Linked DNA regions of Drosophila melanogaster. The protein of the gene in region 2 interacts with the protein of the main gene of each other region in a pairwise test. Each region holds a gene or a part of one and is shown on either strand. Other genes may lie near its edges.

Region 1 (7,263 bases), on a different chromosome or scaffold from region 2:
TCCCGGTGGCAGGATGGAAGAGCCGCTGATTGACATCGCTGAGATGCGGTAGAATTACGCCCAGAATAGAGCTCTGGTAGCTGTGGCTTATATCCGGTATGTGAGCAGCTCTCTCCAGGAGCGCAGACAACGCCTTAAGGGAAGCTTTCAGTATCTCCTCATTGTCATTTCCTGGAAAAGTCTCTGTTTTCAGAGCCTGCCATATCTGATCGAAGTGCGGCTCCAGAACGGAAGGCGGGAACTTCACGGCAGCTTGGTGCTGTAACAATAAATAGCATGTATAAAAAGAGGCATTTCAAAATGTTACGTTTTCTTGCCAGCAGTTCTATGGAGTCCAGTTTGGCAACCAGCAACTCACTCTCCAGCTTTTCTATGGCCAGTACCACTGTGCCCTCAGCGAATTCGTTGTTGGCTACCAGGCAGTTAGTCAACTTCTTGGACAATTCATCACGGGTTATGGCCGCTGGATCCTGCTTGCTGGGATTAAAGTCGATTGGAAAGTAACACGCAAAGATCTCAAACATCTCTTCGGCCAAATGCAGCAGCGGATACGTTGACAAGAACTCGGGCATGAAGCTGAAAATGATGTCAAGGTTGCGGGGGTCACGCTCGCCGTCAATGGAATTGATCAGGCCGTAGACGAAGTCACCGGCCATCGCTTGCAGCTCTGTATCGGGAAGAAAATTGATTTGTTTGAGTTGTAATATTGTGTAATATTTTCTAAAAATAACGGAAATAAAAGGTACTAAGATTGTCGCAAATATCTGTTCGACTAGTTAAAATCATCTAATTATAACTTTTTTGCACACTGACTTGTTTAAATCGGATTAAAGCAATGTCAATGTATCTTTCATGCTAAAATGAAATCAGGGCTCACCGTCCTGGAAGTTTTCCGTCAAGTACTGGAAAATGTGGAACAGCTTGGTGCGGTCGCTCCGCGTCTGCGACTGGCAGGTGGTGTGCTCGAAGAATGACTGCAGAATCTGGGGAATCTGGGCGCGCGGTAGAGCTTTCATGTGAACCAGGGCGTCGATTCCATCGATAATGGCTGGCATTACGTTGTGATGGTCGCGCAGGCGGTCCATGTAAAAGGTGCTGAGGAACTCCAGCTGCCGCTCTTGCAGCAGATCCTGGGGCAGTGCTATCAACACGGCGGAGAGCAAGTTGGTTCCGGCCACACGCTCCTCCATGTCCGGAGAGGACAGGGCGAAGCCCAGTGCCTCGGCCAGAGCAGATATGTCATATGCCTTGGCGGTCAGATCTGGAGGAAACAAAGAATCTCTATGAGAAGGGCACATTCGACACGGATGCGGGTGTAAACCTGCCCTTGGCTATCTGTGTGGCGGAATTCACAAGCTTCTGGTCGCTTTTCAGAGCCTTTTCCAGGGTGGCGCGCGTGGGCGTTGTCATTGCGGCACCGTCGCTTGAGTGGTGTCTAAATTTAAATGAGTTTAAGCACGTTAAGCCGAAATGTTAAGAACCGATAACCGATGACTTGTCGTACTGGCCTTATCTATATCACAGCGATGCCAGACTGGTGTTACAGTAGTGCAAATGTTTTAGCGATTAATATAGCTTTTATTGCAGTGGCGCTCAGGGATGGTAATGTGTGGCTCGGAGACAAATTCTAGAACTGGAAAATATACTTACATATTGTATATTGATTTATAATCGATAGACACGATACGGAGATTTTCTTTTTATTTTCTTGTAATTCGTTGTAAATTTAGAAATATATTTTTAGCAGCTCTGGAAACAATCGATAGTCGCCGACTGTTGCACACAGGGAACGCAACAGGGTGGTCAAGTGTCCGCGCCGATGTATCGATAAGCCCCGCATCACCAGAGCACGCACATCACTAGTATTACAAACACAGGCAGGCAGCAGTTTATTTTAGCTACCGCAGCACCTTAAACTCTGAATTAAATAGTTTACGCATTCATTTTGCGCTCGGAACGCCGCGTAACAAAGCTAGTACACTAATGTCCATAACCGTAAGTCGCCCGCGAACTGCTCAGCTGCAATTGTAGGTGTGCGGCGGCGAGACGTCAGCGCTGCTGTTGTTGTTGCTCTTGTGGTTGCTGCAGCTGCAGACGCCCCCACATAGCTGGAAATAAAATAAGAAGCATAAGAATAAGAAATACGGTGAAGTGTCGAATGCAAAGTGCAGTTTGCTGTGTCCAGAGGCTTGCAATTAACTCAAATTCTATTTAGATCGCATTAATTCGACCCATTGTGCGCCCGTGTGCGTGTGTGCGAAAGTGTGTGTTGTGTGCCGCTGAAACCTGAGCTGAGTGTGCGTGTGTGTGTGCGAGCGTTAATTTTGTTGTTTTTACTATTGTGTTTTTTGTTTTTTTTTTTTTTTTTGCATACGACGATTTGAGTCGAGTTGAAAGAATCATTCAAAGCCAACAAGGTCGAACGCCTTATTCGGCTCATAACTACCTAATACATTTTCCAATCGGCATTTGGCCCACGTCCCGCCTTGGAGGCGGAATTGAAAATCGGAGCGCGTTGCGTTTAAATTTGGTGACAAGTCGGCGGCTGTGCGCCTGATAATTTATAATTAGCAGCTCACTTGGGTCGTTGCCACTGGCATCTTCTATTATTCGCAATTGTCGCCGGGTTTTCCACTTTATTCGCTTCTGGCTGGGAGGCGCACTTTCCATTTTTACCTGCAAGGCGAGCCAGCGAATGACGAAGTCGCTTCCGTTCTATTGTTCCCCTTCCCACCCAGCAACACTTGGAGAAACTCACGCACTCGAGCGCTTTAATTGGAACTAATCTCTGTCTCTCGTTTTTGGCTACAATGACGACAACCTGTTCCGATCGCCAGTTACTGCGAGGTGGCAAGCAAAAGACAACCACTTGCGTAGGAATGACCGTAATGGCCAAGACTACGTTTGAAGAAATATGCGAGAATGCCAAATTAGCACGGGACATGGCTCTGACGGGCAACTACGACTCAGCCTGCATCTACTATGAGGGCCTCCAGGGGCTGCTCGCCCGCCAGCTGAAGGCCACCGCGGATCCGCTACGCAAGGGCAAGTGGAGCATGGTAAGACATTCCTATCACCACCTCCAGATACTGTCAACTACCATGCCAATGAATGCGAATGGTGACGGTTATGACAAACAAAGGACTTAGTCATAACATCTTGTCAACGCCATTCAAAATTGCCCAAGAGGTTTTGTGTAAACGAGTTATCTAGATCGTTAACGTGCATATAAAGATTTAATTTAATCAGAACACTACCGAATGACTAAAATTTGAATTACAAAGTAATTTCTAGCACTACTGGCACAAAGTAACTGGCTAAAACTCCAATAGATCATAATAAACCAAGTATTTTCAAAAAGTTTAATATTTACCATACCGGACGATTTCATTGACATCATTTAACTAACTGATCTTCGATTTGCAGATCAACCAGCAGATTAGCCAGGAGCACGCCAAAATCAAGGCCATTCAGAGAACCCTACAAGACATCTCGCTGGACCTACAGTCAACCAAATTTGCACACAAGCTGCGACACCAGCTCAGCGAAGAAAGCACCACCAGTAAAGATCCATCTGCCTGGTTCAAGCCGGACCCCGACATTTGGACGCCTCCGCCCAAGGATCCAGATGTGTGGGGTCCGCCGAAGCCACCACCCACCACTCAGGCCGTTGGCCGAAGAGCCGCACCGAACAACCGCCGCACCACTCCGGCAACGCAAAACAGCCGCCCCAGCAGCACAATCCCGCAGAGCACTGCCCGGAATGGTCCGGCCTCGACACGCAATTCCCGCAACTCAACGTCCGCCACAGCACCGAGCGGCGGAGCACGCACCACCAATGGAAGGGCTGGCGGTCGCAAGCTATCCACATCGAACACCAACGAGGCTAGGGACGACGACTCCACCGCTGCAGGCAACAATGGCGGAGCGGCTGGCGATGGAGAAAACGGCGATCCGCAGGCCGCCCAAGAGGAAGAGCGCAAGTTTCAGCCCAACAACCACATCGAAGCCGAGCTAGTCGACATTCTTGGTAGGTGCCTAAATCGTTGCCGCAAGGTTTGCCTCGTTCAAAATTTGGTGATGTGCTAGTCTTATTTATTAAGCAAAGCTAATGCATTACTCTACTTGCTTTAAGATTTGTGGCTATTTCAAAAATGGTAGTAGTTATGAAAATTTGGGTCTAGTATAGCTACATTTATTACATGCCAACGCTCTCTTTTCAGAACGTGATATTCTTCAAAAGGATCCCAAAGTGCGCTGGAGCGACATTGCCGACCTGCACGACGCCAAGCGGTTGCTGGAGGAGGCCGTCGTGCTGCCAATGCTCATGCCGGACTACTTCAAGGTGCGTCACCCCCGCTGTTTGTTTTCTGTGAATCACATTCTGCCAAACGCTTATCTCGCGATGGGTCAACAAACGCGCTTTATTATAGTGCTCAGGGCAATGTGTATTTGATCAACTATTCTGAACTGTCACGAAATGCATCGCCTTGCAGCTTTATCCCTCTTAACTAGGTGGTGGAACTTGTCAACACATTCTACTTTTACTTGGGGCGGTTTAAAAGTTTCCATTGTTGAAATTATGCTGATTATGATGTACCTCTATCTATGTTATCTTATCAAACTATGTGTGCGTTCAAAAGAATATCGATCCATAATAACCTGTCGAAAAAAAATAAATAATTATGTATATATTATGTATATATATGGAATGCTGACCATGTGTTTCTAACGCCTTTAAGTCACATTAAAAATCACTGATCCAAACACCTGAGACTGAGCTCGATTGCTATGTTGACCGTGTTGTACCATATATGTAAGAATATTTGTTGTTTTCAAATATTTCCGTCCAACAAATATTTTCCCCATCTAAAATGTGGATACCATGAAATTTTGCGTGGGCGAAAGATGTTTGAAATGGGCATCAGAGAAGCCTACAGCACCATTTTTCGATTTACCATCTTACTGAATAAACAATAGCAAGAAAGATAGACTTAACGTGGATAGTAGATAATTAGATATTTATGTTTGATTGGAAGAAATGGTACTCACTTCTCCAATGTAGATTATTTAATTAATTAGAATTAGGCAAATGACACAGCCTAAAACAGTGGTTCAGATCAAAACAATCGGAAAGTATACAATTAATATATACTGAAAGTTTGTAAACATTTTAAAGCAAAAGTACATAATCACTTCTTGCTTTCTACAACAGGGTATCCGGCGACCGTGGAAGGGCGTGTTAATGGTGGGACCTCCAGGCACGGGCAAGACAATGCTCGCCAAGGCGGTGGCAACCGAATGCGGAACTACGTTCTTCAACGTGAGCTCGGCCACGCTGACGTCCAAGTACCGAGGTGAGTCGGAAAAGATGGTGCGGCTCCTGTTCGAGATGGCCAGGTTCTACGCGCCCAGCACAATTTTCATCGACGAGATCGACTCCCTGTGCTCGCGCCGAGGATCGGAATCAGAGCACGAGGCCTCGCGACGAGTGAAGTCTGAGCTGCTGGTCCAAATGGACGGCGTGGGCGGCGGAGAGGAACAGGCCAAGGTGGTCATGGTGCTGGCCGCCACCAACTTTCCTTGGGACATCGATGAAGCGCTTCGGCGTCGTTTGGAAAAACGCATTTACATCCCACTGCCATCGGATGAAGGTCGCGAGGCGCTGCTCAAGATCAATCTCCGCGAGGTCAAGGTGGACGATAGCGTCGATCTTACCTACGTAGCCAACGAGCTGAAGGGATATTCCGGAGCTGACATCACAAACGTGTGCAGGTGAGTTCAGAATACACTAATTTAAAATGGCGTAGTCAGTTCCAAATCATGTCAATGGAATAAAATGCGTGCTCTTCTTTTTCCAGGGAGGCCAGCATGATGTCGATGCGGAGAAAGATCGCAGGACTGACCCCAGAGCAGATTCGGCAGTTGGCTACGGAAGAGGTGGATTTGCCCGTTTCCAACAAGGATTTCAACGAGGCCATGAGTCGCTGCAACAAGAGCGTGTCCCGGGCAGACCTGGACAAGTACGAGAAGTGGATGAGGGAGTTCGGATCGTCATGATGGCGCTGCAGACGCGAATGGCTAGCGATTGTAGGAGTATATTTTTGAATAGCCTTAAACACGCGCTTAAGTCATTAAGCTTTTAAAGTGAGAACCGAACCGATCCGAGCCGAACGGAAGAGTTGAACATATTTTATATATAACATTTTGCAAATACGATACAATCTATATATTTACATATATACATTGAACCGGAGGCCGTTGGAATTAGAAAAGACTAACCGCTCTCAAAGAGGAAACACAAATGGAAAACTGAAATTGAAATTGAATTGCAATGAAGTCGAGAGATAGGCAATACGTTTATGTATACATAGCGAAAACCACCCACACACTCCATGAGCACAAACCTTCCAACAAATCGTTAACCCACAATCACACTATATGCAATAAGGAATCGCTTTAATCGCCGCCTAGCCTTGGCCTCATACTCCCACAATATGCACACTCCAATCCGTATCATTTTTTATCGAAAGTTTTTATTTTAACAAGAAATGTCCACTGTCTAATATTAATGTTAATTTTCGCTTAATTTATACTTTCACATATACATATATATCATAGTTTAGTGCAGGCAGAGATGTGTGTACCAGAAAGTTCCCTCTGATTTGCAATTAACCCACTGTAATCAGAAGATGAAACTGAAGCAATATGTACTTAAAGAGAGGATTCTGAAATTTTAAACAATAAAGAAGTTTTTAACTTTACGGCATTAAGAGTTGTGACTTTTTTGGGTGCTTTCTGCAAGGATAAATAAGGATAAAGGTCTTGCAAATGATGCTGATGATGTTATGATTTGATTATTATTACAATTAAATCACTGTTACGAAAATGCTGTGATCCCCAAAGAGAATTTATATCTAGATACTAAGCGGATGTTGCATTTGTATGACACAGCGGTAATTAATCTTTTCTAGAAATCAAGAGTCAGGGAAAAGCACTTTATTATGAAATCCAAGAACGTTTATCTGATGAAAGCACCCTTCGTTCACCGCTTACCAAATGTACAAACTTGCCTGCTGCAGACTGATGCGCCATGGCAGTTAATTCGCTGAGGACCAAGGACCAAGGACCAAGACCTCAGTACGGTCTGGATGGCGGTGGCATGGGCATCAGGGGACCCATGATTGGGTAAGGGGCGGAGCCCCCAGACGCGGGATAGAATCCGCTGGAGGGCACGTTTCCGTAGGCTGGCAGAGAAGTATT
Region 2 (4,852 bases):
TCGGAACCAATCACGCGCCAAGGGAAACCAAAACAAAGTAAATGCAAAACGCTTCAATCAGAACGCGCCCAGTGAATCGTGGACGGGAGATTCTGATTCTCGAGGGAGCACTGTTGGCACTGCTGCCACAGCTGTCCATCACATTGTCGATGGAATGCTCACTAGTCCCCAACGAAAGTGAAAATTAATTAAAATACTGAACGGTTTGGGTTTCTCGCCCGTTCTTTCCTCTATGAAAGTGCCAGTCCGCATATTTTTGGTTTTCCTTATTTCCATGGTGAAGCCAGCTGAGCTGAGAGCGCGGAATCCAAATATTTGCCAAATAATTAATCATGCCACTTTGCGGCCCAAAATCTCTGACAGATCAGCGCGAAACGCCTTCGTCAGTACCAGTCCCCCCACGCCAAGCCAGCCTGCCTGCAAGCCACTGATAAAGACGCGCGGGATGCTTAGCGCCCATGTCTCGTTGACTGATGGCCGCACCAGGCCCACGATTCGTTTTGAATATCTCGCAAAACGTGGTGCAGGTGGGAGCCGGGCCACTGCTTTTGCACTGAGAGTTTAGTGCGCCGATTGGTCATCACTTCTAAATTAGCCTAATCAATTTTCACCCACGCAGCTGTTCCTGCCGCATATCCACTCCCAAAACGGACTGCTGCTCATAAATCAGTTTATTTTCGCCAGTCAGCGAGCCTTTGAAGGCGTAAGAGTTTCGCGGGTGGGCATGTACAAGAACTCGCTGTCCGTCCAGAAATCCACCAGTGAACGCTGTTGCGGCCGGGCGTCCAGGTGCGCGAAGCACGTGGCGAAGAGCTGGCCCTGCCTGACGTGACGCATATGCCCGGCCGCCACCTCCGACATGAATTTGTCCACCGAGGAATCCTGACCACGGCTCCCACGCTCCGGCACCGCTCGTAGGCGCAGCGTGTGCGTCTCGGTGGTGTTCACGTCGACGAGCACGGTGGAGGTGGCCTGCCGGTTGTAGACACTACGGTTTGGCACGTTGTCCACAAAAACGTCGAAGTGGTCTACGCTGTCAAGGTCATGGGTGATCCAATGCAACGACAGCGAGCCTCCGCTCAGCCTGCACGCTCCACAGATGCTCACCGGGTAACTGAGACGCGCTGATGGAGGACGTCGTTTTCCATGCAGATCGGACTGAGCCTGTCGGCGCACTTCTGACGCTACGCATAGGTCCATGAAGAAGTTCTTGGCCAGTAGCTTCGCCTCTAGCCGCTTCTGTCCCTCGGGAGATTTGAAAAAGTCGGACCTCTTGACCGCCCGACGCATGTCCTGGCAATGGTGGCAATTGCAATCCTTTTGGTATGTCTCGCACTTGGAGGAGGCATCCTCGACACCGGCACTACTTTCTTCAGGCTGACTGTTCCCCGCCTCCTCAGGGCTGACCAGAGCGAAGGCGTACTCTACATTGTCGGGGGTGTCCTCGCTCTTTTGAAGGGGGCTCTCTAAGGCGTTTGCCCGAGAACCTCGACTTCGGCTTCTGGGTGAACTCCGGCGGTAGCTCTTTCTTGATAGGTTTGATCGGGCGGTGGTTTCTTTCCTGGACTTGGGCGCTTTAGCCAAGTCCGCTCTTGAATTAGAGGTGGCCGAGATTTTGGCAGTTACGTTGGGTAATGGACTTTGCTTCCGCCTCAGGCTCGATTTGCTCGATCGCCGTGATCCCTCAGAAGAGTTAGGCCCAGATGAACTAACCATTGCAAATATGGGTTCCATTGCAGGTGCTGACTGCTTATTTCGAGGTGACATCTTGGGCGACTTTCTGGGTGAACTAGAGCGCGAGGTCTTAAGTTTCTGGCGAAAAGATTTGCTGCTAAAGCGATTTCTGGAAGTAGGACGTCCTTGTGTGTCCGCTATCTTCTCCTGATCGGTAGAAATCTTCGAGGGACTGTTGTCGAATCCGCTTCCCAAAGGATTCTCCGACGAGCTCGCCAAATTGCATGTCACACTGTTCAATGCGGTGTTTGCGGAAGTGTCTGTTCGGTAGTCAGCCTCCTCAGTGAGACCCACTGGCGTGTAGCCAGTCAAAGGGGTGATGTCAGAGAGGAGGTTGGAAAGGTCGTAGTTCGTGTTATTGAATGAGCAGTTGGAGAAATGTGAGGTGGGCGTTATCTGGGAGGTGCTGGGCACAGTAGTGCGGGTGGGCGAGTCCGTCAGAAGCGTATCATTGGACTTGCTCATATAGGGATTTTCCTCATCTACCGCCTGGGAGCAGGAGGATGTCAACGAACGCTTGGAATTTGGCACAGAACCGCTGCGTTTGATGAACTTGTGAAAGAGATGTTTTACAGATGTGAAGGACTCTCCTGCCCTGACAAGGCCCACTGTGTTCTTAAGGAACATCCTGATCGAGGTGGAGGTCGAATCGAAGTTAACTGTATCACGAGAGTTTGAGGATCCACCTTGAAGCAAGGCACTGCTGTCCAGGGCTGCCGTATCTTCGGTTACTGACAACCTCGCCGCGGAGTGCTCCTTATTTCGTTGGTTAAGGGAACTGTTGCTGGTCGTGCTGGTGTTGTTCCGCTGACCCGAGGTAAGCGAGCTTTGGCTGCTCTCCGGGTTGACAACCACGAACACTGGCGGTGCGGGTTGCGTCCGAGCGCTTGATCCACTTTTAATGGAACTTTTGAGTGTGCGGCTGGGCATCGGGTTCCTCCTGCTGCCTGACGGAGCCGCAGGTATTTCGTCGGGCAACATGATGCTCACCCTCTTGGACATACTTATAATTTACGGAAGAGAGATTTGTGGTATCTTCTACGATTGCGAAATAAGTGTATCTATCGAAATATTAAGTGTGTAGGCTTTTCCCAAACTGCCAACTGACGCCAAGGCAACTTTACCTACCCTGTTGTCACCAGGAGTGTGCCCCTTTTATACAATGCAAAAGCGGGGCTCGCATTCAATCATCTTTAATGACGACTAATGGCTGGACCCGCGGGCGAGGTCAGGATGTCCATCCATGACTTGACTTTGTCGCCGGAAGTTGGTAGCCGAGAGACTGGCCCGCGATTGCGCATAATTTTGTCAATGTTCGGAGCATTCGGTGGGCGGGGCAAATTTGCATAACTCGCGGACCTTTCAGCTCGCATTAAATATGGCCAAGGCTAGCGTACGGGGTCCTCAAGGCCCCCTAGTTATATTTGACTCTAATTAGAGCTGCAGGGGAAATAATGAGTTGGCGTTGAGCGTTGGGTCGTGCCGTCGTGATAGGCCGTGAATTTAACAGAGTTTGAGGTGCACCTTTAAGCTCGCTTTTCTTTGAGGCTTATTATTCGGCTTGGCTGCTCATAAAAGAAGCAAATGATTAACCGACACGCCGCATTGCACATACGCCTCGTCGCCAGAGCTACAACCAGGGCACGCAAGTGTATTAAATTATTTTTGCTTTATGATTTATCTAACACGAAATACAACGGAACGCCATACCCTGTCTCTCTGGGCTACGTTTCGTTTCCAAAATCAAAAGCTCTTGCACAAGTCAAAAAAAGGAGAATCGCATTTTTTTCTCACCTTTATTTGTATATTGAGTCACTGTGCTGTAGAAGCAGTAATACATCGCTGGTGATAACATATAATATCTGGCTTTGCCTTTTGCTAAGCGGTTGCTCGCAACGGGGCATCCAAGACATCCCCTGCTCGGAACTGACTGCGGGTGGCAAATGCTTATTTCACCCGTGTCCCGACATTTGAAATTGCTTAACGGCTGGTTTTTATCTAGCACATACCAAATTCAGCTCGTACAACAACGCTAAATCATGAAAAAATGTTATTCCTAGGCCAAATGGCTGCCTCAGATGCGTTTTACAGTCACATCGCCGAATTTTAATACAAATAAAAAAAACTCTAATGGAATAAACGAAGGTCAAATAAAAAATATTGTGTATAATTGATTGAGGTCAATTGACGACATTAAGGCGCGTGTCTGGTCAGTCAAGTTTAATCATTTCTCTTGTTGATGGCTGTTGCCTGCCCAGTGATCCCATGGGATGGCCTCTTAAATGAAATGGCTTGTCTACGGCTAGGACTAAGCGGAAAATTTAACTTTTCCGCTTTCGCTCGTGAAAAACCTATCCAAAAGTTTGATACAGGAAAGAAAAAGTTTCCTGATTTAGAAAAAAGACTGACATATTCTTTGTTGTTGCCAGCAGCTATTTGACGTTTTCGGACTCTTTTTTTAGTTGACTCGCGAAGTGCATTTATAGTGGACAAGATGAATAAGTCAAGAAAAGAGCAGATTTTACCTTTAAGCCAAAACAGTTGATCTTTCAAAACCTAACCCTTTTAAATATGTTAAGTTGAGCGGGTGATAAAATTAAAAGGTTAAGACCCCAACGATTAAATGTGCTTAACCATGTGTTACAATTTTTCTACTCCAATTCTCCCCAAGACATGTGTTAAGACTTTTGAGCCTGGGCAAGAGTTCTATTTGCCGAAAATTACCCATGCCTCGGCAAAAGAGATTGGCATCGGCAAGGCCACGGATAAAACGCAATACACAACCTGAAAAGAAGATGGCGCCGATAAGTCGAAGCTTAGATACCCTTGCAATAAACACAAATATGTGTATTTAAAGCAAGAGAGAACGCTGTAGTCGACTTCCTCGACTATCAGATATCCGTTACTCAGACAGTAGGAATGGTCCTGCTGGCTAAATCATAACTTTCTAGCTTTTTTTATCCCGAGATCACAGCGTTCATATGGACGGAAAATGGAACATGGGACGATATGTGTATAATCATAACATTATATGTTATATGATTTATATGTTTCCAATTTACTACGTTGTAAACTTCTGACAGAGTACCCTCTGCAATATATGGTGCAATATATGCAT

The links.
Region 1: the proteins of CG7856 (region 2) and Kat60 interact in a two-hybrid assay, tested with the Drosophila melanogaster proteins (one large-scale study listed by BioGRID).

The regions. Positions count from the first base shown.
Region 1 is NT_033777.3:5,226,789-5,234,051, reverse strand, and holds Kat60 (katanin 60), read left to right. Parts: upstream 1-1,842; 5' UTR 1,843-1,983; coding exon 1,984-1,995; intron 1,996-2,738; coding exon 2,739-3,059; intron 3,060-3,426; coding exon 3,427-4,030; intron 4,031-4,223; coding exon 4,224-4,345; intron 4,346-5,215; coding exon 5,216-5,775; intron 5,776-5,861; coding exon 5,862-6,060; 3' UTR 6,061-6,763; downstream 6,764-7,263. Other genes in the region: Mms19, read right to left, coding at 1-259, 318-667, 878-1,261, 1,326-1,410; Vps37B (vacuolar protein sorting 37B), read right to left, coding at 7,138-7,263.
Region 2 is NT_033778.4:6,056,700-6,061,551, forward strand, and holds CG7856 (uncharacterized protein), read right to left. Parts: upstream 2,860-4,852; 5' UTR 2,737-2,859; coding exon 685-2,736; 3' UTR 658-684; downstream 1-657.